2 linked regions of the Coturnix japonica genome follow. The protein of the gene in region 2 purifies or fractionates together with the protein of the main gene of each other region. This does not show direct contact. Links are inferred from orthologs where the notes say so. Each region holds a gene or a part of one and is shown on either strand. Other genes may lie near its edges. The genes, in order: VDAC3 and ABCC1.

What was found.
Region 1: the proteins of ABCC1 (region 2) and VDAC3 fractionate together in Homo sapiens (co-fractionation; 3 studies listed by BioGRID). This does not show direct contact. The link is inferred for Coturnix japonica from reciprocal best matches to the Homo sapiens genes ABCC1 and VDAC3.

Annotation. Positions count from the first base shown.
Region 1 is NC_029537.1:4,102,454-4,114,027, forward strand, and holds the start of VDAC3 (voltage-dependent anion-selective channel protein 3), read right to left. Parts: upstream 7,315-11,574; 5' UTR 7,293-7,314; coding exon 7,184-7,292; exon of another isoform or gene 7,119-7,183; intron 7,099-7,118; exon of another isoform or gene 6,980-7,098; intron 6,026-6,979; coding exon 5,954-6,025; intron 5,434-5,953; coding exon 5,384-5,433; intron 4,466-5,383; coding exon 4,463-4,465; intron 1,904-4,462; coding exon 1,751-1,903; intron 1,161-1,750; coding exon 1,108-1,160; intron 1-1,107. Other genes in the region: POLB (DNA polymerase beta), read right to left, coding at 8,471-8,565, 9,213-9,352, 9,847-9,911, 10,383-10,469, 11,163-11,233. UniProt on the Homo sapiens protein: Non-selective voltage-gated ion channel that mediates the transport of anions and cations through the mitochondrion outer membrane and plasma membrane.
Region 2 is NC_029529.1:7,455,955-7,467,615, reverse strand, and holds the start of ABCC1 (multidrug resistance-associated protein 1), read right to left. Parts: upstream 6,049-11,661; 5' UTR 5,610-6,048; coding exon 5,562-5,609; intron 1-5,561. Other genes in the region: CEP20 (lisH domain-containing protein FOPNL), read left to right, coding at 7,359-7,386, 7,728-7,925, 8,345-8,429, 9,280-9,419, 11,033-11,109.

The sequences.
Region 1 (11,574 bases), on a different chromosome or scaffold from region 2:
TTTCAAATCTTGTTGATCACAAACAAGTGCAGTGTTCCATGGTATCATCTGTTTCAGCACCAACAGTGACATCTCACAATGATATCTGGCCTTGCTGTCTTTGATTGTCTTTGGCCATTCATTTGTCTCCCATGATCCTAACCTGGTCACATGCAGTGCCTGCTCTCCTTCCATCTCCACTGCAGGATACCACTCCTCTACCAAAAACACATTTCCTCATCTTCCATGCATAGCCTATTTGGTCAGCCTTCTCGTGTCTTTCTCTCAATGTGTCCTTCTGCTCATCTTGCTATCACTTCATAGTTAACAAAACTGAAAAAAATAATATATCACCTCCCCCATCCTCTCCCCAGCCTTGTTTATGTTTCTCACTGAAGACACAGCAGGATGCTGTGCTGCCCATTAGTCAAACCTAGACCCAGGGGCTCATTTTTTAACTCCTTTTCTATTTCCTTATATTCAGTTAATACTTTCAACACCAACTGCTTTGTTATGCTGACTCCAACAACAGACAAATACCAGTTAATTATTTACGAAGCAGTCTCAGGCTTCATCTACAGACATATACACCTGTATATGCACCTCTCCTCTGCTCTACTGTTAACCAAAAGAAATCAATAATAATAGAAGACAAAAATATGTTATTGCACTGCTCATCATAATATGTCATTCTCCTTCCTCATTCAGTTGTGCAGAGCCATACGCCCACAAGCTTTAGGAAAAACAGTACTTTGTCCCGTGTTCCTAAGGCACCGAGTGGACAGCAGATGGACCACAAACACCATCACAAAGACAGTGCAAGTTAGTGAATGTAAAACAGAACTGTTTGAGAGGACAGTTAGAGAAATGGAATAACTACACCACAATGAAAAATCTGCAGTGGCCAAAAAGATGAAAAATCAATTTTAGCACATTCTTCAGAGCCCACTGCCTTCAAAGTGCTCTGCAATGCCTGTAGAACAGGAATTTCCTGCTGCAGTATTTGAATATGACCATTCAGTGACAGTGCATGTTGAGCATTTACGCAAAGAATCATACAAGGACTTCTAATCAAAAGGTAGAGACAATTCTAGGGCTTCCCGGGTTAAAGTAATAGAAAATATTTACCCTGTGTTTGGTACAAATATAGTGTCAAAAGCAACCTTCAATCCTTCAGCCAACTGTTAAGAAAAACAGAGAAGTCTTTTACAGCTCTGTCAAAACGTGGTTTTGATACTATGGCACTACTTCAGGTCTTAGGAGATGACACAACATGAAGGGCAAATCTCACACGTTTTTACAATGACATCTGTAGATGCTGTATGCTAAGAGCTGTCTAACCTCATTCTGAGCTGATCAGCATTTTCCATTTTAATGTACCGGTTAAAGTACAAAGTCATAACTACAAAGGGAGATGGACATACACAGTGGAGGGCACCACAGAGCTTCTATTACCTTTGGCGCTGCTACTTAATGCTGCCGCACTCTGTAAGAAGCATAAAGCTGCTAACTTAGGAAAGGAGTTACTTATTTTAAGAGTGGTACTTAGAAACCATTTGCTTAAGCAACCCCAAGCTGTAAACGCTCATCTTGCTCTTCAACCTCACAAAACATGTTCAGTCTGAAGGCAAACTTACAGCTTTCTGCATTAAAACATTAAAATTTAGCATAAGTACTTCAGGTAGTTTTGCTTCAGTGCCTTCTGTTCCACTCAATACTACTTTCTCATACCAACTGCAGAAACATTTTCAGAGTATTGACTTCCTCTTACCTGATCCTCTATGGAAACTTCTGTTCCCAAAGTGTTGTCTGTGTTCCACTTCTGAATGAACGTGAGTCCATAGTCTTTGATCTTATACTTGGTTTCTAGATTACCCAAAGCCTTGCCTGTGTCTGTACTGGAAGAACCACCTGCAGTAAATTCCTGCCAAGAGGACAACATGAGTTTAATCACTCTGGATACTTTGTCTGCTTGTCAAATGCAAGCACGCAAACACTCACTAACTTCAGGCCTTTCAACAGAACACTCCTCCCTATCCACAAGTAAAATAGTCATTTTTGCATCTCAAAACGCACACTCCTTTTAGCATCTCTGTTCTGAATATGTCCTTTACTAAGATGTGCTGATATAGCCCTGGAGCTTTCTTAGGCCCCAGTACACAAAGCCATGGCACCTCATTCCCCTGTACCCCTCCTTGATCTTTTGTCACGTTTTTTTCCTAAATTATTCACCAACATTCCCCCTAAGCTCCCCACCAAAAAGCAGAAAACCTTTGCTATCTTTTACTGTTCCAAAGCTGGAATTGTTATTCCAACATTCTTCAACTTGTTCTATATTTCACATAGATTCACTGCCCCATAGCCACGTACAAGAAGATATTCATCTGAAATACAAAGCTGCTTGGATCCTTTGATTTTTCTTCATCAAATTCTCCACGCTGTTTTCAAACACCCCGTCCTATGCTATTTGAGCAGCTCCTACACATCAGAGCTTCTTGTTAAGGGCCACAAAATCTCAATAAATACATTTCTTCTGAAAATAACTTTAAGATGGCCTACTTAGTGTTTAATGTACAGAGCATAAAGCAAAGAGCAGGAAGTCCAAGGCAGTAAGCCAGCACACAGCCATATGAGCATACATTCCTAGCACACCATGAAGAAAAGATGACATATACTCACAGAATCACAGAATGACCCGGGTTGGAAGGGACCTCAAGGATCATGTAGTTCCAACCCCCCTGCCTAGCAGGGCCACCAAACATACACCTTTACTAGACCAGGTTGCCCAGGGCCCTGTCCAACCTGGTCTTGAACACCTCCAAGGACGGGGCATCCACAACCTCCCTGGGCAGCCTGTTCCAGGGCCTAACCACTCTCCTAGTGAAGAACTTCCCCCTAACATCCAACCTAAATCCTCCCTCTTTTAACTTAAAACCATTTCCCCATGTCCTGCTATTGTCAGCCCTTTCCAAGAGTTTACTCCCCTCCCGGGAGTAAGTTCCCTTCAGGTATTGAAAGGCTGCAATGAGGTCACCCCGCAACCTTCTCTTCTCCAGGCTGAACAAACCCAACTCCCTCAGCCTGTCCTCATAGGGGAGGTGCTCCAGCCCCCTGATCATCTTCCTGTCCCTCCTCTGGACCCTTTCCAAAATCTCCATGTCTTTCTTGTACTGAGGGCTCCACACCTGGACACGGTACAACAGATGGGGCCTCACAAGAGCCGAGTAGAGAGGGACGATCACCTCCCTATCCCTGCTGATCATATCTCTCCTGATGGAGCCCAGGATCCCATTTGCTTTCCGAGCTGCCAGAGCGCACTGCTGGCTCATGTTGAGTCTCTCGTCCATCAGGACCCCCAGGTCCTCCTCTGCCGAGCTCCTCTCAAGGACCGCTCCTCCCAGCCTGTACAGGTGCCTGGGGTTCTTCCAGCCCAAGTGCAAAACCTTGCACTTTGCCGTGTTGAACCTCATTAGGTTCACCTGAGCCGCACTACTACAATAGCACAGAAATTTTATGGTGTATCTGGCCACCTTGTGAAAACACAGAACGTAAGTCGGGATGCACAACTATCCTTCAAGATCAATTCACTACAAACCATTCTAACATCACTTCCACAAACTCAGTGTAAAGACACTGAATCTGCATCAGTTTGATTCTCAGATCAAGCAAAAGGAAGGTTGTGAAAGTTTTTTGTTTTTTTTTTTAACATATAAAGGACAACCATCTCCCACAACCGAATCTGTTTCTGAAAGCAGAAAGCACACAGTTAACATCTACTGCCATCAACCCAACTTTCTGAACCAGTCTTCTCATCAGGCCATTTCACGCAGCAGCATTACTTGGATTATCTGTAGCTGAAAACCAAACTCATTCTGGCTTTGTATCCCATTCCAGCCTGACTCAGCAGTCAAGCTCAGCTTCTCATTGACCTTTCAGTTCACAATGGCTGTTTCCTCAAGAACATGATGTACTTACCACATTTCACAGATTACAAACAGCTGTAACCTGTGAAACAGTTACAACCAACAGAAAACAACAATGGCACTGTCCACACCCACATGAAAGAAGAAAAACAACAAAACATTTATGTATTGAAATGGAGATAATGTTAATTCCCAAGTATGAATTCAATTCCATGCTTTGTACCCAACCTCTTTTCAATCCTCAAAGCCCCATATGGCAGCGGAATGCTCATTAGTAACACCACTGAGCATAAAACCTTTAGCAGCAAACATACCATTAGCATACCTATCTCGATTTCCTCCTGATGTTATTACAGTGCTCTTATCTCAGATCGCCAGAGATGACAAATGACTTCACATGCAGGCAACATACAGAAGATTAAGCGCTATGGACACAAGGCAAAGTTCATGGCACAGATTGCACTGCTCAAAACCACCAGGCAGATGAATGGTAAGCACCACAAAAATGTCAACGACAAAAGAATCAAAAGCCAACATGCCAAAATAGTCACTATTCTTACCAGCTGAAAAGGATCCAACACGAAATTTGCATGGAGAAGGAAAAACCCATTTTAAAAACTTATATCAGTTGGCATGTTCTGCCATGTACAGAGTGTAAGGAACTATTACTGATTTAGCTGAGAATCATAACTCTGTGGCAGGAAAACTACAAATATTCAGAGATGTCATAAACTAACAGCAGTTGTAGATCCTCGGCCTCATCTGCTGAGTGCACGATGCAAGTAATCTATCAAGAGCTCAGGTGAGACATCATGAAATAGTACCAAAGAAATGAAAGTGACTTGCACCATTTATGTGATAAGAATGCAAGAGAGGGAGGGAGGCTAAAGCAAATATGGTTAAAAGCACCTGAAAAGCAGCATAAACCTGTCAATTGGAGAGCAGCAATAAGAGCTGGCACTCAAAGTTGAGACTCACTATAAGAATTAGCTTAGCCAGTATAAAATATGTATGACTGTGGGTAAAGGCCAAAATTATGAAAGCAATTTCTTGTTTTGGCAGCTTTACTGTGAAATCACAGAACCACAGAATGACTTGGGCAGGAAGGGACCTTAAAGACCATCCATTTCCAAACCCCCTGCCTTGACGAGTGTTGCCACCCATGTCAGGCTGCTGGAGATATTCAAAACCTGCCTGGATGCTTCCAGCTGCAACCTCCTCTGCCAGCAGCCTCCTTTAGCAGGGGGTTGTTCTGAATGATCTCCTGACGTCCCTATAATTCTGCCATTCTGTAGCAATCTGTGTGCACCAAAGGGAAAGAAGTACCACTACATCAATTCCACATCCCACTGTAGAAACAAACTGGGGATAGTCATCCTCAAATAAGAAGCAGAAGATTGAATCAACATGTGCTGGCAGGTTACTGCCACCAGTTCAGGAGCTTGCCCTTGCTGGGGATGGTGAAAGCCCCCAGTACTTACCACCCCACTTGAAGACTTGGTCTTCAACTCCAACTTGACCATCCCAAATCCTGAAAACAGAACAGCATATACCATCTGTTTCACTGCAGTATACAAGCAAGACTTATTTGCTACACAACCAAAGTGCAACAAATGGAGAACACTGGCTAGAAACAGCCTATTTTCATATTTCAACAGATGTTGCTATTACTGATGAATGACCAAAGAAGCTACGACAATTCAGAGTGGCTGGGCTCATAATTTCTGGTTTTAACAGCCAGAATTTACCAATAAATGTCATAAGATATACCTGTTCTTCGTTTCTGGCCAGGCTTAACATCCATCATTTGGTATCTCTGCTATCTTGGGACCAATCAATACTGTTACCATTTCCTCTGAGTAACAAAATTCACTTTCAAACCTCTGGTTCCAAGGGAGGAATTCTCCTCTAAGAGGAAAATTCTCCCCATCCCTCTGTTGAATTCCCATCATAAGGAATCAAATGGAACTCTGATATAGGAATGACTTTGTTGTGGTTCTCAAGTTGCCTAAGACAAAAGAGAAACATGGAAGCTCAGTCATGTTACTTACCATAACCCTTATTGAATACATCCCTGGCAGCCTTTCCCAAGTCGCTGTATGATGGTGGGGCAGCCATTGGATCTGAAACAGAATGGAAGTGCCAAAAATCTTAAATTTAAACAGCACAAAATCTAACCTATGTCCAAAGCATTTATAGACCTCTATGAGCAGGTACCCTCTGTGTGCCTCACTGATAAGGAACCACAAGCTGGAATCATTTCTAAGCTGTGCATGTACATCCAACAGCACCTTCTAACACACGCTGCTGCTGTGACTTAAATGGACAACAAAACCCAAAGGGAGGCATGTAAAACTATGGCCTTTCTTAAAGGAATTTCACAGCAGAACGTCCAGCTTAGAAAACAAGACAAGACACAAAAAGAAGCGTGGAGACTCTTCTCCAGTAGGAAATTAAACTACTGACACAACTGTGGGCCTGGAGGATTTACAGCAAGCAGAGTGCCTGCAGCTCCCTCCTCTGATGTAATCACAGAATTATCCAGGTTGGAAAAGACCTAGAAGATCATCTAGCCCAATACTTCCCGGCTAAATCATATTCATCAACACAACATCCAGACGTTTCTTGAACACTCCCATGGTCGGTGACTCCACCACCTCCCTGGGCAGTGCATTCCAATGCCTGACTACTCTTTCCAAAAAGTAATACTTCCTAATGTTCAGCCTGAATCTCCCCTGGCGCAGCTTAAAACCATTCCCTCTAGTTCTATCATCGATTACACGAGAGAAGAGGCCGAGCCCCAGCTCACTACAACCCCCCTTCAGGAAGTTATAGAGAGCAATGAGGTCTCCCCTGAGCCTCCTCTTCTCCAGGCTGAACAATCCCAGCTCCCTCAGCCGCTCCTCATACGGCCTGTGCTCCAGACCCCTCACCAGCTTTGTTTCCCTCCTCTGAACACGTTCCAGGGCCTCAATGTCTTTCTTGCAGTGAGGGGCCCAAACCTGAACACAGCACTCGAGCTGCGGCCGCACCGATGCCGATTAATAAGCACTAAACGCGGCCGCTGCTCAAACCACCTTCCTGTCCAAACCGGAGGGATCAAAATGAGTCGCTAAACCGGTGAAAAACACCCGTTATGGGCAGAACGCAGCGCGAGGAGCGACGGGCCGCGCCCTCACGGCCTCCCGTCCCACCGACACCACAGCCAGCCCCTACCCAACCAAGGGACTATGGGCCGCAACGACCACAGCTCCAGCTCCGGACCGGCCCCGCAGCCCTACCGCGCCCTGCCGGCCGGACCGCGCTGCGAAACGCTCTGCGTGCGGAAGCCGAAGCGCTGCTGGGTGCGCATGCGCAGCGAGAGGGGGGCGCAGGCGCGGAGGTCGGCATGCGTAGAGCTCCGCATGCGCAGAGCGGTGACGCGCTCCGCACGCGTAGAGCCCCGGCTTTTCTACGCATGCGTAGAGCCGCTCCCGCAGCCGGTAAATCATATCATAGTATGTGCCCCGGTGGAGCAAGTGGTAGGAATGCCGCATTGCAACACCGGAGACCTGGGTTCGAATCCCCCCTGTGGCGCAAGTGGTAGAAGTGCCGCTCTGCTACACAGAGGCTCGAATCCCGGGGGTTGGACTCGGTGATCTCTAAGGTCCCTTCCAACCCGCACGAGACTATGAGACTATAGTAAATATAGTAAATGCGTTTCTACTACCAGGCTTCATACAAAAGAAAAGCAAGAGTACAGGTGTATAATCACGGTCAGCTACTAAAAGCCTTTGTTAGTTGGCTGCAGTCACAGCAGGTGGATGTGCTTTTAGAGTAACAGCCAAATCAGACCTTGCTTGGGCTTTACTGCTCCAGGTTTCTGGAACCTTCAGGTTTAAGAAGGAAACCACACCTTACAGCAAAACAGCATCTGCACCTTCATCAGGAAGGAGGGTTCCCACCTGTAGGAGTTTATCACAGAATTATCAAGGTTGGAAAAGACCTAGAAGATCATCCAGTCCAACCATCACCAATACTGCCCAGTTAAATCATACCCCTCAAATGCAAGAACGGACCCCTGAACAATAAGGAGCAGAAAAGGGAGAGATAGAAAAGTGAACTTCTTTCTTCAGGTAAATAGTTTATTTCATCTGAAGAGCCCCCCTCCACAAACATCTGTATCTACACAGGAGCCTGCAGAGCTCTACAATACTCAAGCTGAATGGAAAGAATGGACAGGGAACAAATGACATTATTTTAAAATATTAGGAATGTTAAGACAAAAAGCAGCAGTGTGACATATTTAAGGGGCAGGGGGTGGCTATAGCTTAAAACAGCAGGAAGTATTTCAGGCTACCAGGACAAGCACAGCTAAAAACAGACTATGAACACCCTTCAGGGAGTTGTTTCACACTGGGTTCTCATCCACTTTCTCTAAAGCACAGGAAGGATTTAAGCTTTACTACAAATACCCTCCTTTTAAAGATCAGTAATGCACATTTGTTGCAGAACATCCAAAGACCCTGCACGTTTTCAATATGCACGTTCACAAAACACCACGAAAGCTCAGTTACAAATACAGGCAGTTATTCGCTCCGATCCTTTGGCTCCCGGTATTTCCACTGGATGTAGTCAAAGATGTCTTCCTCACATTCTACTGGTAGGGGCTCCCCAGCAACTCCTGCAAGCACATTACAGATGCTATTGGAAAGGTGGAAATTCCATGTAATCCTGCACTGCCAAAAGCACTGCAAGATCAAGACAATCGATTTCACTGTAAGCAAAACATACTTGCAAGTGAACTGATGAGTACCCTCCCCCCAAAGAACACACAGGAGAAAAGCCCGACCCCCACAGAGAACCACCACCACCCATAGTTTTTCACACAATATTTAGGTAATCATTCTCAGTGTCACAAGAAAAATAATTAACTACGCGGCTATAATGCTTATACAATTAAAATAGACACACACAATGTGCAGTCAGCCCCCCCCCCCACCCTCCAATGGGAAACAATTGAAAGACATGAATCAAGTTAAAAGAATGAGAAAATGTGTGCTGTGCATTGCAGAGCAAATCCAAGCTGCAGTTCAGTTAAGACCAAGCAGATCATGCATCCCAATGTGTTCATTTTGTTCCACAATTCTGTCTGTACATTAGCAGCTTGTCTCCCTCTGCTAAAATGGTTTTACAGTTCCAGGAAGGACAGAGTGAATAATGTTGTTAACTGCAGTATTTGCCAAGATTTCCAATTGAGAAGATGACTAAAGGAGAGGATCACAGAAAACATGCAACTAGAAAGAACACTGTTTAAAAGCCCAGACTGACCAGTGACACCCAAGGGACGGATTGTGTACTCGTTGATTGTGAAGCCCATTTCCAGAGCGTGGGCTCTCATGTTCTTATTGAATAAATCACTGCCTGTGAAATACAGTACACCACAGTAATACTGATCTTTAGGGATAAGCCTGGAATAAAAATGGAAGAGAAGTATATATTTAGGACAAATATGAAGCTACACGCCATTTGGAATTCAGCCACTTTGGAAGGGAACAGATCTAGAACTGTGCTCAAACACACACATTCTGCAACTCTGACTATTTCATTTTTCCAGATGCCCTAACTCAAGAATGAAGAACATTACCAGAGAAAGGTATGACACATCTAACATGACTCGTAACCTATTGTTACGATGCTTTCATTGCTGCCAAGAATTCATGGCAAAACAGTATTGTCAAGTAGGTCACAATTCTGAAACTGGATACAGAGCTGTTATTTAAGTACAGCATTCCTGCTAATAACCTGCTCCAGACACGGGCACTTTGACAGTGGTTTCCATACAAGGTAATTGGAAATCTAGTAAATGCCTTCTTCTAAACAGGGAAACAGAGATTTGGATGCAGAACATTAAATGAATGTCTATTATACAGCAGACAGATAAATTTTTTATTGGAAAGTATACCGAATATCAATTCTCCTGTGTGGATAAGATGCTCCATCTTCTTTATTTGGCAGCTGGCAGACACCCTGGGAAGTAAAGAAAGTGCAAAATTTAAAATTAAGTGTAACAGGTCTGAGATAGGCTTACATTATAGAGCTTCACTGTTCTTGACTGCCCCAGTGCTGCACAAACTTTTAAAACACACATTTCCAAATGCACGCAGCTTGTATTTAATCATCAGTTAGCCTGGAGTAAAATTAAATTCTTATCTAGCCAATCAAATGTTTTGTTAGAACAGCTGGCCGTCACCAGTGCTGGGAGCTACAGCTGATAAGAGGACTGTAACTCAATACAGCACATAATTACTTCTTCAGTCATATAACAGCAAGGATGACAGGAATTATTTTCCATTTTAACAAAAGATTCACTGAGTCACAACTGCAACGAGTTTTTAAGAGGAAAAAAATACGAAGAATCCCACACCAGCAGCAGCCCAAACACTGTTGTATGCATTGTCAGGAGAGATAACGCCCACCACATCCCCTGAAAGGTCTTACCATGAATTTGGTGTCACCTTTAGACAGCACATCAGTGACAAAGTGGACTTTCTCCAATTGTTCTACAACTTTATGCAGAAGCTTTGACTGGGAACAGTAACAACACAGAAAAAATTACTTCACTTACAACAAGAATATCTTACTTGTTTAGCTGCAGGACATAACCATAGGACACCACATGAACTTATGTGAAATACCAACATGAAATTTGACCAAGAGGACGAGAATCAGAGCAACAGTGAAAAAGAACTAATAAAATTACAATGTTGAAAAGTTTCTAGTGAAATCCATGCCAGATTGTTTCCACTTAGAGTGACAAAAATTGCTTCTTGGTTTGAGTCTTCAATTTTGTTGCAATCAATCCATAGAAGCAACAGGGAAAAAGGGATTATCATTAGGCCTTCCTCAGAGGTAGCCACAAGAGACTATAAGGGCAGCAGGACATCTGCTTCACCTCCAAGAAAAGGAGGCTACCTAAGGAGATACTTTAACTGCTGCCTTATTCACATAGTTGTTACAATTCTACTTTGTATAGTACATTAATTCAGGAGGAATTGGGGAAGAAGACTGAGGATGAGAACAAACACACTATGCTGAGAACTCAACATAAAACTGCTTCTCAGAGCCATGCATTAATTACTCAAAATAAGAATGGTGATCCAACAGCTACAAAAAGATGCAGGAAGCTGAAATGCAAGTCTGACGCTGCATATCATCTGAATTTAAAATACTCTTTTGGAAATGCTGCTCAATACTAAACATGGTAGCAGAGAAACACACCTGTTTGGATGATTCAGATGTGAAAGTTGGATGGGTTAAGAGAACATCCATGTCTCCACTTGACTCTGCACCTGGGCAAGTAAGAAGCAAAGAAAATTCCTCCCAGATAAGATGAGAAGTATATATGAACACTGATAAAAATGCTCCTAACCTCTTCTGATAAACACATATTTCTTGTAGAGAACAACAGTCAGTGAATTTTCCAGATACATGTGAAAAACTGATCTGAAAGGAAGAAAACCTTTTCTGTTCCATTGAAGTTGCTATCACTACATTTCTCAGAGAACATCCAGCATGTGCTGCTATACTCTCTAGTAATGAAGCACAAACAAGGTGTCTGACTACTGCACTAACCCATTAAAGACAACAGTAACAGGAAAAGCTGGACTTCAGCATAAACTTACTCTCCAGA
Region 2 (11,661 bases):
GTGGTTTCATTGGTTGTTTTCTTTTGAAAATCCTTTGGCGAATTTAAAGTTTAGCAGAGGAGCAAATGGGTATTTTTGAAATCTTCTGACATATTGCTCAGTTTTCATTTTAGAAAGTTTTCATTTCCATCATGAGCACTGTGGCTGAAAAGAAACAATATCTGGCCACAAATGATTTGTGCCAAATAAAGTATTTTGTCCTATAGCACGGAATGGTTCCATGTTATATTTCAAGTGAAATCCTCCATCTCCAAGAAGAGTACAAAAACTGCTTGATGACCCCTGCAATCGCATGGATCTATTCAGAATTAAAACACTTATTTAACGGTGCATAATCCCAAGGAAAACAAAGTACAAGTTACATTAATTCCCATCTAGAATGTCAGGATCAGGCCAGTTAGTAGCACTGGCAATAGGGCTGTGAGATCAAGCTGTGACACAAAGGATCAGTTATTCAGCTGCTGCTGGGGGGAGGAGGAGGCCAGGCGAGCTGTGTGCCCCCAGCATGGCCGGCCTCAAGAGTGAAAGTTTGATGCTTGCCAGGACCCCGTGCCTGGCAGTCTCCCTCCTGGCAGCCAGGAAAGGCTGCTGCTAACTGAGCAGCCACCCACCTGTTCTCACATCAATAATCCTATTTGACCAACAGCACATTTTACAATTCTCATTAGCGGAAATACAGAGACCAACACTGCTCAGTTTCACGCCTGCTGTGCACAGGTGTGCAAGAGGTGCAGGCTGCCAGCCACAGTTAATATCACCTGTATGAACTATGCACACCTCATCCAAATTATCAGGACCAAGTACTGCTTGCACCAGTGGATCCTGTGCTTCTAGAATCAATTCCAGCTCTCCGCCTTCATTCGTTCATTCCCTCAGTTTCTTGTATCTACTAGAAAAGGTTTTAACATTAAGTTCTCAGCAGCAATGGCTTGCATCACATAGACCTGATTTACCAACGTAGTTCAAAAATAAGGCTTCCACCTTCCAGTCCTGGTGCCTGCGGCTCCTTCTTCAAATCTCAAAAAACAGCATTTCCTGTTGTTAACAATGAGATGAAATCCCTTGTAATATATAGCACAGCATCAGCTGAAACTATGCGTACAAAGGCAGAAAAACAGCACGGTTTGCCTTTGTTTCCCTTTAGGCTCAAAGAAGCAGCTGGTGCCAACAAGTTGCCAGAAAAGGGAACATTTGCACTTGTGGAATTTCCAAGCCAAAAAGCCTCTGGAACATGGCATTATTTCTGTGGGTTGGATAAACTTATCACAGATTTCATCAGAAGCAGCTGGCAGTTTAAAATACTTTTCTAGGTGCAATGATTCTTGTGTACCAGGAAACAGTATGCAACCGTGTGACAATAAATTATTGTCTACCAATGACAGCTTCAGAATCAAAAGGGCAGCATTTATCTATCTGTAAATTTTCGAAATGAAATCAATTTAATAGGATGCAGGAAAAGAAAGATAACCCTGTTAGCACCTCCTTGTTGTTGTTGTTTAATAAACTTTATCTGAAGCTCCCACCAGGCACAAACAGTGAGGGGGGGGGGGGAAAGGTAATGCATGGAATTCTAACTCTATTAAAAGTAAGGGAAAGGTCAGTCCCTGCCGACAGCTTTATAGAGAAGTGACCCACAATGACTCCAGTGCAACCCTGGTTAACCTCCTTCAGTCTGAGTATAGCACAGTGCTTCCCTGTAAACTGCACCGTGGCTGCTGGGAGCGGCACAACTTACCCCTGGGGTTTAAATCCTTTGAGCAACCTTGAGACAGTCACACTGAAATGACAGCCATAAAATGACAGACAATCTGTTATGGAAATTTCTATCTAAAACACAGCATCAGGTTCGTTTTCCTGTACCTCCCCTAAGCCGATCAACCCTGAATCAACAGAGGTAATAATAATTCCTGTGAGAGCAACCACCACCAAGACTCATTTTTCAGGCTTAAACGTGAGAGAGCCGACAAGTTGCATCTGGCTTTCATCAGTGGATGAAGCCACAACCGAGCAATGAGAGCCTGACAATTAGCTGCTAATTATAATAAAGGCACCATCTTGTGTAAAGGCTTTAACCTTCTGCTCCTCCTCTGTCGCAAATCCTGCCCACACGTGACCTTTTTAGGTCAGGAAATGCAGGTACTTTATGATCTGCGCACTCATTTCAATTCTTCACACGAAGGTTTTCAGTTGATCAAGTTGATTCCTTTATAATTTAAAGGGAAAACTTAAATTCACAACTTCGAACCAAGCTCACACCAGCACCACCCCCAGCTGCCTCCCTGCTCTGCCACAAACACTCTGAAGTACAATCCAACTACAACCAACTGCAGGCAGTAATTACTACAAGATACAACCTGTGCCTTCAAACAGCACTAAGGAAACCCGTGTAGAAATAATCAGTGTGAAGAAGGTTTGAAAACCAAGAAATCTTATTACTAACCTAAACTAGGTCCAAACTCTGCCTCCACTTAAGCACCAATCTCTTGTTTTCTGTAACTCAAGACTACACATCCCTGCAAGAACATCACTCTTTCTTCTCCCTGTTTTTCCAAATCATCAATTGTCTTTGTGAATAACTTAGACTTGTGTGTGTGATATGCATCTATCGCGCCGCTTTATGCTATTATATGTATTTAACTTCCTTATTCTTCTGTGCCTTTTGTTTACCACTAAGATATCAGCGACCTCCCACTCAGCTAAGCCTGGAAGAAGAAAACAAACACAAAAATTAAAAGCAAATGAAGCCTGTTAAGTATGAACCGCAGACACACACCTGCACCCAGGCTCCCCAAGCTATCTCTGCCGACCTGCCCAACTTTACGTGACAGCTTGAATGCAGCCATCTCACATTGATATCCACACCAGCACCCTCCCATGGCACACTCCTGCTGTTACTGTGAGCTATCGCTGCTTATAAAAATGTGTTACTGATACATTACAAAGTAACGATCTTATCTGCGCAGTTATTTCCTAGGTTATGTTACGCTTCAGGAAATGCACTGAAGGCATCTACAGTGCAAAAAGCTTTGGTACTCAAGAGATGTACTGATTTAGCACTTAGCTAATACATGACAGCATGAGCCACACAACTCAGATCATCAAACATCCCTTCCACAAAACGCTGTTCTTCCTTCAAAACTCGCTTTCAATAAAATTACCTGCAGGTAGAAGCAAAAACCCCAACATTTCAGATTCTACTTGACTGACAAACATCTTCTAATGAATAACAGTCTGCACATAAAGGCTGGCAGAGCAGCTGGAGAGGGACTGTACGGAACTGCTTGAGTTTGCTCTTCCGTATCTCACAGTTCTTTTTCACAGCACACACTGCATTCCCATTCCTGTGACATTCAAGGCACAGCGATCTCAGCACTCCAGACCACAGCCTACTTTTCCTATTAAACAGACAATACATTGAAATGCAGGTTCCTCTGAATGTTTCCCCCAACCCACAAGTTTTCACTTAAAAATAAAAGCAAAATCTCTTAGTGTTATCAGTATCTTACACAGCTACAACCTGATGTTATGGATGAAACAATCAGTGAGATACTCTATGATGACACAAGGATGAGAAAGCACCCTTCCAAGAAGGAACTGTGATTCAAAGAATGACAAGAAACAGTGAAGTTCCACATACAAGTTGTGCTTGTTCCACTGATTGGGCTGGAAGTTCTCACGCTGGGCACTAGAGGTTCAACAGGGAGAGGAAGCAAAGCACTGAAGAAGATGCAAACGGGGCCGCTTTGTTTTCACAGCGGGTATTAAATAAAATCCATCTGTTTAATTCTCAAACAAGGATTTTCAACAATAACATTCCTTGAGTGTACAAACAAGAAAAATCCCGGGCAGCAAGGTTTAAGAAGATTAGCACACAGTTTCTAAAGGTGCATTGGGTCCTTCCAGCCTATGAAGCTTCCTCTGCAATTTCAAACTGAGTTGTCCCAAGTTCAACACCAGGCATGAAAGGAAGCACATCTCCTCACTGATAGCAGCGGGGTTTGCCAGCACCAGGACATCTGATGTGACCACAGCTGACCACAAGAATGCAAAGACACCAGTCACCCGTATCCTAAGTGCAAAGCAGTGCTGGGAACAGGAAGCACACACTCCACAAGACAGGACAGTCCATAGCACGCACACAAGTGGTATCTGGAAGGCCAATAAACACAGCTTACACGCAGGCATTTTGTGGAAAGCCATTACAATTTTGGCTTCAAATAACTGTTGCTGCTATAGAAATACCATAAAATACACCCCGAGTATCCAAAGCCGCCAATAGCAGCATTTCTACCTTTCCCAACACAGCAAACAACAGAACAAGGCGGATAGACAGGACAAGTTCTATAAAGGAGAATACTTTGCCAGACACATCTTGCATCAGTGAGAACTCATAATTGTTCTGAAGGATTAGAAGAATCCAGAGACCAAGCAGCCACACCCAGAGGAACTTTTACTCATGAAATGAAAGGCCAGCGCCACGTGGCTCGGAGCAGGATGACAAATCACCAAACTGCCTGCATTTTGGGAACCAGGGCAGAGAGTGAAAAAAAACAGATTTACAACGTGCCAAGAACTTCATAAATAACCACATTACACACCAAAAAGCCTGTTTACGTAAGAGACGCTGTCATCAGAAAGCCACGCAAATGAGCTGTTGCAAGCATGGCAGCCCAGTTCCTGCAGCCACCTGATGGTTCAGCTCCACAGTTATTCATAAATCTCAAATAAGTTCTTCCATAAATCGAAGTCTGAAACACGCGGCATCTAAAATCTTTCCTGTACAAAGGCCTGGATCTCAGGAAAACAGACACCAGAACCAGAACAGCTGATGGGAGCTCAAGGGTCAGTTTTGAGAAACCTGAAAAATCAACTGGAAAAAGATATTAATATCAGCAATATAAGAATGGGTTGTTTTCGATCCGCTGGTAAAAGGCAAACACCTCCAAGTGCTAATGGCTTTTATAGTGTTTGCTAAGTAATATTTTAACGGTTCTTGAGATAAGTGGCACAACGGTATCTGATGACATGATCTCATCTCTCCTGAGCTGGTGAATGCAGCTCATTAGCTCACAACTATCTGCAAACATCCGACCAACAGCCGCAAGTTCTTTTAACAGCCCGACAACAGCCACGTGTTTTCTTCGCATCCCGGCATCACCTCAAACAACGACCCAAAACCTCCCCCATCCTCCAGCTCCGCCCCGCACAAGGCTTTCCCCCCCCCCGCTGCCCCGGCACTCGGGAGCCTCCTCGGACCACAAGGCTGCACATCCCTCAGTCGCACTCAGCGCTGATCATTACAGACGACCCAAAACAGTGCTACACAAACGTGACACAACCGCTGCCCTGCAGCAAGAGCGTCCTCGGCCTCCCCCCAGGGCAGCACGCCGCCGTTCCGTGCCGCCAGCAGCCGCCCGCTGTTATTGTTGCTCCACGCACAAGGAGCTCGGCTCATCTCGCTTCCCGTCCTCAGGCCGCAGCTCGCTCCTCGGTTCCCCCCGCACGAACCGCCCACCGGAGACCACCCTCATGCTCCGCGGCTCCATCCCGCCCTCACTCACCCAGAAGGGCTCGGAGCCGTCCGCACCGCACAGGCTTTCGATCCCCATGTGGCGTCGAGCCGACCCGCCGCGGCAGCGCTGCGCTTCCCACTCCGCACCTCTATACCGTGCCCGGGCGGCGGCGGCCGACGGCGCCGGCGCAGGGCCCTGATTGGCTCCGCGGTCACGGGGATGCGGGCCCCGACGGCGCCGCGCGGCCACGCCTCGGTGTAGGCGGGGGCAGGCGGTGTGTATTGCCGGGCCGTGTGTGCCACGCGGGGCCGCTCCGGGGCTGGGGGGGGTCAGAGTAGGAACGGGCTCGGCTCCCGCTCGGCGATACCGGCACAGCTTCGGCTCCTGCCGCTCACCTGCGGGTCGCAACTGCCGCCCCGGCTCCCGCGGCACCGAACACGCGCTGCCCGCGGGGTCCAACCGCCCCGGGATCCGCGCTGCCCCTCGGGAGCCCCGGCACCGACCGGGGAAAAGCCGCAGCAAAACCTCGTCTCGTTTTCAAGCGTTTGACTTCCCAACGTGAACCAGTTCGACTGGTTTCAAAACCCTGAGCCACTTCTAATTGTTGCTAGCGGGAACTGAAACTGAACCAAAACAGCTTCACCAAAACGGCTCCACCCGCAGTTCGCACTAAAATACGCTACTAGTGAAGCCACCCGCCGCCCCGCGGTGCAAATCGATGGTCTCTCGCTCCGCATTTCAGTGCATCAGTTCAACCTGCAGAGCAGCCATCGAAGTTAGAGACAGAACGCCGCTTTACAATGTTCTTTTACACCCTAAGCTGCACCTTGTTAAAATATCCACAGCGCTGCCTTCATGTTGATTCCTCAGATTTATTTTTATTAAGGGTTTCTGCCCTGTTTTGTACACTACATTCATCTTAAAGCCCTGCTGGGTGCACGGGTGGGTTTTGGTGCCTTGATGCTCACTACAGCACCTGTGGAAATAGCTGACATATCTCCTGCTGCCCCGAGCCTGTCAGCGCTGCCTTTCCTCCAGTTTAATCTGCAGTGCTTATAAAGTTAATAGCTCTCACAATCAATAAAAGTCACCAGTTCCACTTGATAAGATGGAAGAATTTTTTTGTAGTACTTGATAAGAGAAGCCAGGAGAAATACTGCCAAATAGATAACACAATCTGTAAGATTTCTACTCATCCTCTGTGCACGACAACACAAGTTATTTCTCTTCCAGTTGGTTCCACCTCTATTAGAAACTCCAACAAAAATCAACAGCAAAGATTTGAACTGATTTGGGAAATGGTTCATCATCCACAGAGCCAACAGTCAGCTCCTCAGAGCACGGCGAGGCACCAAACCTGCCCCGGAGCCACCACAGCCCCACACAGCCCCGGCAGTGTTACAGGCGGGTCCTTCTAAACAGAATCTCGTTTTTGGTCTGTGGAACGTTCATTTTTGAGAGACCTCGAGCAAAACTCTCTATGGATGGACTCTCTTAGCACACTAATAAATACTCTTTGAAATTAGAGGGGAGAGCACTACAGCAATACCAGAGCGCCCTTCCTCAGCCTCCGCTCGCTGAGCAGTCAGCAGGCGCACACAGGACACCAATGTGAGAGTAATTCCGCACACACATGTGCTGCCTGCTATTACCCTGCTCGCTATTTACCCCTGCCTGCCCTTCCCAGCGGACATCCCGGCAGCACAAGGGACCACAAGCGCTAGGAGCGGCTCCCGTCACACCGGCCCGCCCTCAGCCCGCCCAGTCAGCGCCTCAGAGCCTGCGCGGTGCCCGCCCGCTGGGGGCCGTTGGCCGCATCCGGGTCAGGGCGGTGGTTGTTGTGAGATGGCGACGATCGCGGAGCTGAAAGCAGGTGGATGGAGCGCTGAGGGGCTGCGGGAGGGACGGCAGGGCAGACAAGGGTCGCTCCGAGCCTTAACGGGGCTGCAGGCTGCTGGCTGCTCGCCTTGGGGAGTGGCGGAGCCGTTTGTTGCTCATTGAAAAGCATTTGAAGCATCCCCCATGTTTCTTCAACGCCCACACCTGTAGGCAATACCGATCTGTATCTAACAGTGTTGTCACACAGCGATCCGTACACGGGTGTGGTTTTCTTAATTTCATCACGAGTATCCGGGAATGGTGTTTGTATTGCAGGGGGGTGAATGCTGCTCCAGCGCTTTTGGGTTTATATTAACTGAGTTTTTATGGTGACAGTTTTAAAGGACACGCTGGAAAAAAGAGGAGCCCTGGGGCAGATAAGAGCCAGGATCAGAGCTGAGGTGTTCAACGCGTTGGATGACCAAAGCGAACCGCGGCCACCGCTGTCTGATGAGAACCTGCTGATCAATGAGCTGATCCGGGAATACCTGGAGTTCAACAAGTACAAATACGCGGCGTCTGTGCTCACTGCAGGTACTGGGCTGTGCGTGGTGTCATCGCTGCTGTCATTACTATCCACCGCCTGGCTGGGTAACTGAAGCCATGCAATCAGGTGGGAACAGGCTGTGTGATCTTGGCTAACCCTGGAAACAAACAGGATACAAACAACCTTTGCTGTGTTATTTGCAGCGTAACACCAAATTATACCATTAGTTTTTAAGAAAATGTGTTCTCAGTTGCTTATCCTTGAGGTAAATAGAGTTTACATTGACGGATCAGATGATGGAAGAGCAAAACAGTTTGCCAGCAGCCTACAAAGCCAAAACACCTTGCATGACTTGAGAGCTACAGCATTTAACTGGTAGCTCTAATTTATATCTAAAGTTGTTAAGGTCTGTAATTGTCCTTAGATGTGGTAGGTAATGACATTTGCTGTATGATCTGTTTTCCAGAAGCTGGCCAGCCTGAAGTGCCCTTGGATAGACAGTTTCTGGTCAAGGAGCTGAACATCGTTGAAGATGCGAATGGGAAATCAGTGTAAGGATTGATTTGGGAACACACGATGTACCCTGCACGTGTGTCTCCACAGTGATTGTATAAATCACATAGAAATGTTCAGTCACCAGCTCAGTATGACTGGATCACACAGCTGCTCTAACCATGCTGTGTTCAAGCGCACAGTGTCAAGCATGGGGCTGTTTTCAAACATCCTCAAAAGTAGCATTAAGTTCTGTGAACGCTATAGAATATGCTCACTAGCTGTTGTAATTGTGTGGCTGAGCCTCATACCACCTCAGTCTTTTCAGTCAGAAGAAAACCTGTTCTTTACACATTATTGATTTGATACGCAAAGCTGTAAAAAGATTATTGCGCTGTGAGATAAGATATAAATTCACAGTGTTCTGATGCAACTGGGTTTGTTAGGGTACAGAAGCAGGTTTAGACATGTTTGGTGATGCCCTATATCTTGGGCCCACACAATCTGTCTCATGCTTAGTAATAAATGTATTTTGGGATACGTGGTGGTGCTCAAGCCAATAGCCCACTGATCACATGTTTAATTTGCATGACAACATGGCTCCGTACCTGTTCTTGGTATGCCCTGATTCTTTGCTTGCAAGTGATCTGGAGTTCAGCTGAGAACGTCCCTTAGTGCAAGCTATGGGGAGGGGGTGGTCTTGAGGGGTGGCTTGTGCCTGTGCTTATTTATATAATTGCATTTAGCATAATGAATTTTAAATAGCTACTCTGAAGATATCTGAATGTTCTTTAGAAGTGAACATTAGGATGTAAGAACTTCTGAGGAGAAGCTGTTCGGTTATTTTTTTCAAATGCTCAGTAGTTAATATATCTCATAGACGGCTTTTGTGATTTTTGCCTTGAGCAGACCCCTCTTATATGGAATTATATCGCATTTCTTACATCGTGGTAATGAAGAAAGTACCCAGAGTACTCATCCAAAGGTGTCGTTGCTGAGTTATCCAAGGCAGAACTTTGCCAAACCATCTACTGAGAGGAATCAGAAAGGTGGGTGTGAGTATAGGGTCATCTTCACAGGAGCTTTATTTGTGACTTCATTTTCTATGAGCTGGGTTTGCTGATAACTGTGTAAACACGTGAGTGCGCACAGGGTACTTCCTTCTCTGTGCAAGGAAACCTTTTCTATAGAGAAATTTCTGCAGTAGGACATTGTTTATACATCAGAATACCATTAAACCATGTAGGACATTGTTTATATGTCAGAATACCATTAAACCATGTGACCTGACCATCCCTCTTGCTCATATATTCATTTAAGAATAGCCCTACAAAATCTAACTTCTGATTTCTAAAACTACCTCTATGTTCCTTTACTTAAATAAGTGTCCAACTGACACAGCTTCTTAGGTCTGCTTCTCTTCTGTTGGTATGTTAATGTACTGCATACAAATCTGGTTGCCCAGCGGAAAGATGATGGATATTTTACTGGAATGGATATTTTATTTAGAAAGCAGGCAGTTTTGAAAAGCAGGGATAGCAAAATGTGTAGAATTTTTTTGCAGTGTAAAAGTTACTGTGAAGCTCTTGTTACCATGCGGTAGCTGTAGCTATCTGTTATACTAAAGGGAAGCAAAAAAAAACCCAAATTGTTTAGCTTTATTCTTTCAATTCTTTTGGACTGTGAAAAGCTGAAAACTCATCTAAATGTGGACCCAACAAATTGTTTTCCCATCATAGCACTGCCACCTGTTCCTATTGTATCCAGAAATTTGAATAAATCTGAGGTCTAAGACGTTATTACAGTTTCTAAGAAGTATAAGGAAGTACAGAGTAAGCACCTTTTCTTAGTATTTGATGAAGACGATGTCGTTGCTCTTCTGCCAGTAGAGGGGGCTGAAGACATAAAATGTGGTACCAAAGCTGCTATAACTTATCTTTTTTGTTAGAAGGTTCTTATCAGAAATTCATATCTTTTAAAAATGTCATTATTAAACAAGTGCTTGTTTTTGTTTTTTTAAATATGTGAATAATTGTCCCAGTTCTGAAACTGAGTCTGCACAGTCACCTTGCCCTGCTAATCCCAATGTAATATATCACATAGGGATTTATTTGCTTAGAGTTAGTTACAAGCCTCAGGATTCATTGTAAGACATGACAACATGTTACTCTTTGAACTAAACAAAAATATGAAAGCAGAGTTGGAAGTTGTTCCTTTCTGTATGAGTTTATGGAATATACCCATGGAGACCTACAGGCAGTGGTTTTAAAATACAACCTGGCTATTTTGATTAGGGTATGCACTATCAAATCAAGTCCATTCATATGTTCAACATTCAGTCTCATATTTAACTTCTATCTTGCTTTCACTATTAGAAATTGCCTTTCTTGCTTATGTTGTTGAGTGAATATTCAAATAAGCTGGTACAGGGAACGGGGATCTCAATAGAAGTTGCAGTCAGATGTTCCTGTTAACTGACTTTGTAGAGGTGGGTTGAAGCAATCTGAGATCCTATCTTTGGTAATGTGGTTGGCTGAAAGAACATGTTTGTAAAATTGTCTGAGTTTGCTATGATGGTGTTCCATATCAAAGCTCTTAATAACGGTTGCATCTTTGGCTTTCCAAGTGTGTGAAAACATTTATGTCTATGTTTCATTTTTAGATAGAATTCCAGAACCAGGAAGGATGGCTGGCACAAGCATTGAAGAGCCTCTTGTTCTACAGAGTATAAAGAGATGACATGATGGTGTCTTTTATATGTTCACTTATCCTGTAAAGCTCTTGGAGAGTAATTTATGTAATTCTTCGTTATGTAAATTTCTCCACTGTGTCCAGTGGGATCATTTCTGTTTGTTGGAGCTCCCCATGAGACAGGAAGACTGAGTCATTATTCCTGCCAGTGACAAACTGTTAGCAAACAGGCGTTCTTCCTCCAGAAGATAGAAGGAAAACTGTACATAAAATCAGATTAGTCAAGCCTGCGTCTAGAATTAGGTCCCAAAAATATTTCTTTTATATTTTAAAATAAAAGTTTACTAGATATTTATAATTTCTGCTCTTGTCTTTTTATGTCTTCGTGTGCCTTTTCTGGTGTCTGAATATTTTTTTGTCAGTTTTATTGTGTTGGGTATTTGAAATAATTTTGGAATGATTTTCCTTTAAGAACAAGCACCTGCTGCTCCTAGATAAGTATGGGAAAATCAATTTGAAAAGAAAATTGCAGTTGTTTTTAATTCTCTGGAAACAAGGACTATATTTATCTCTATGCCAGCAAACAAACGAGGGTAAGTC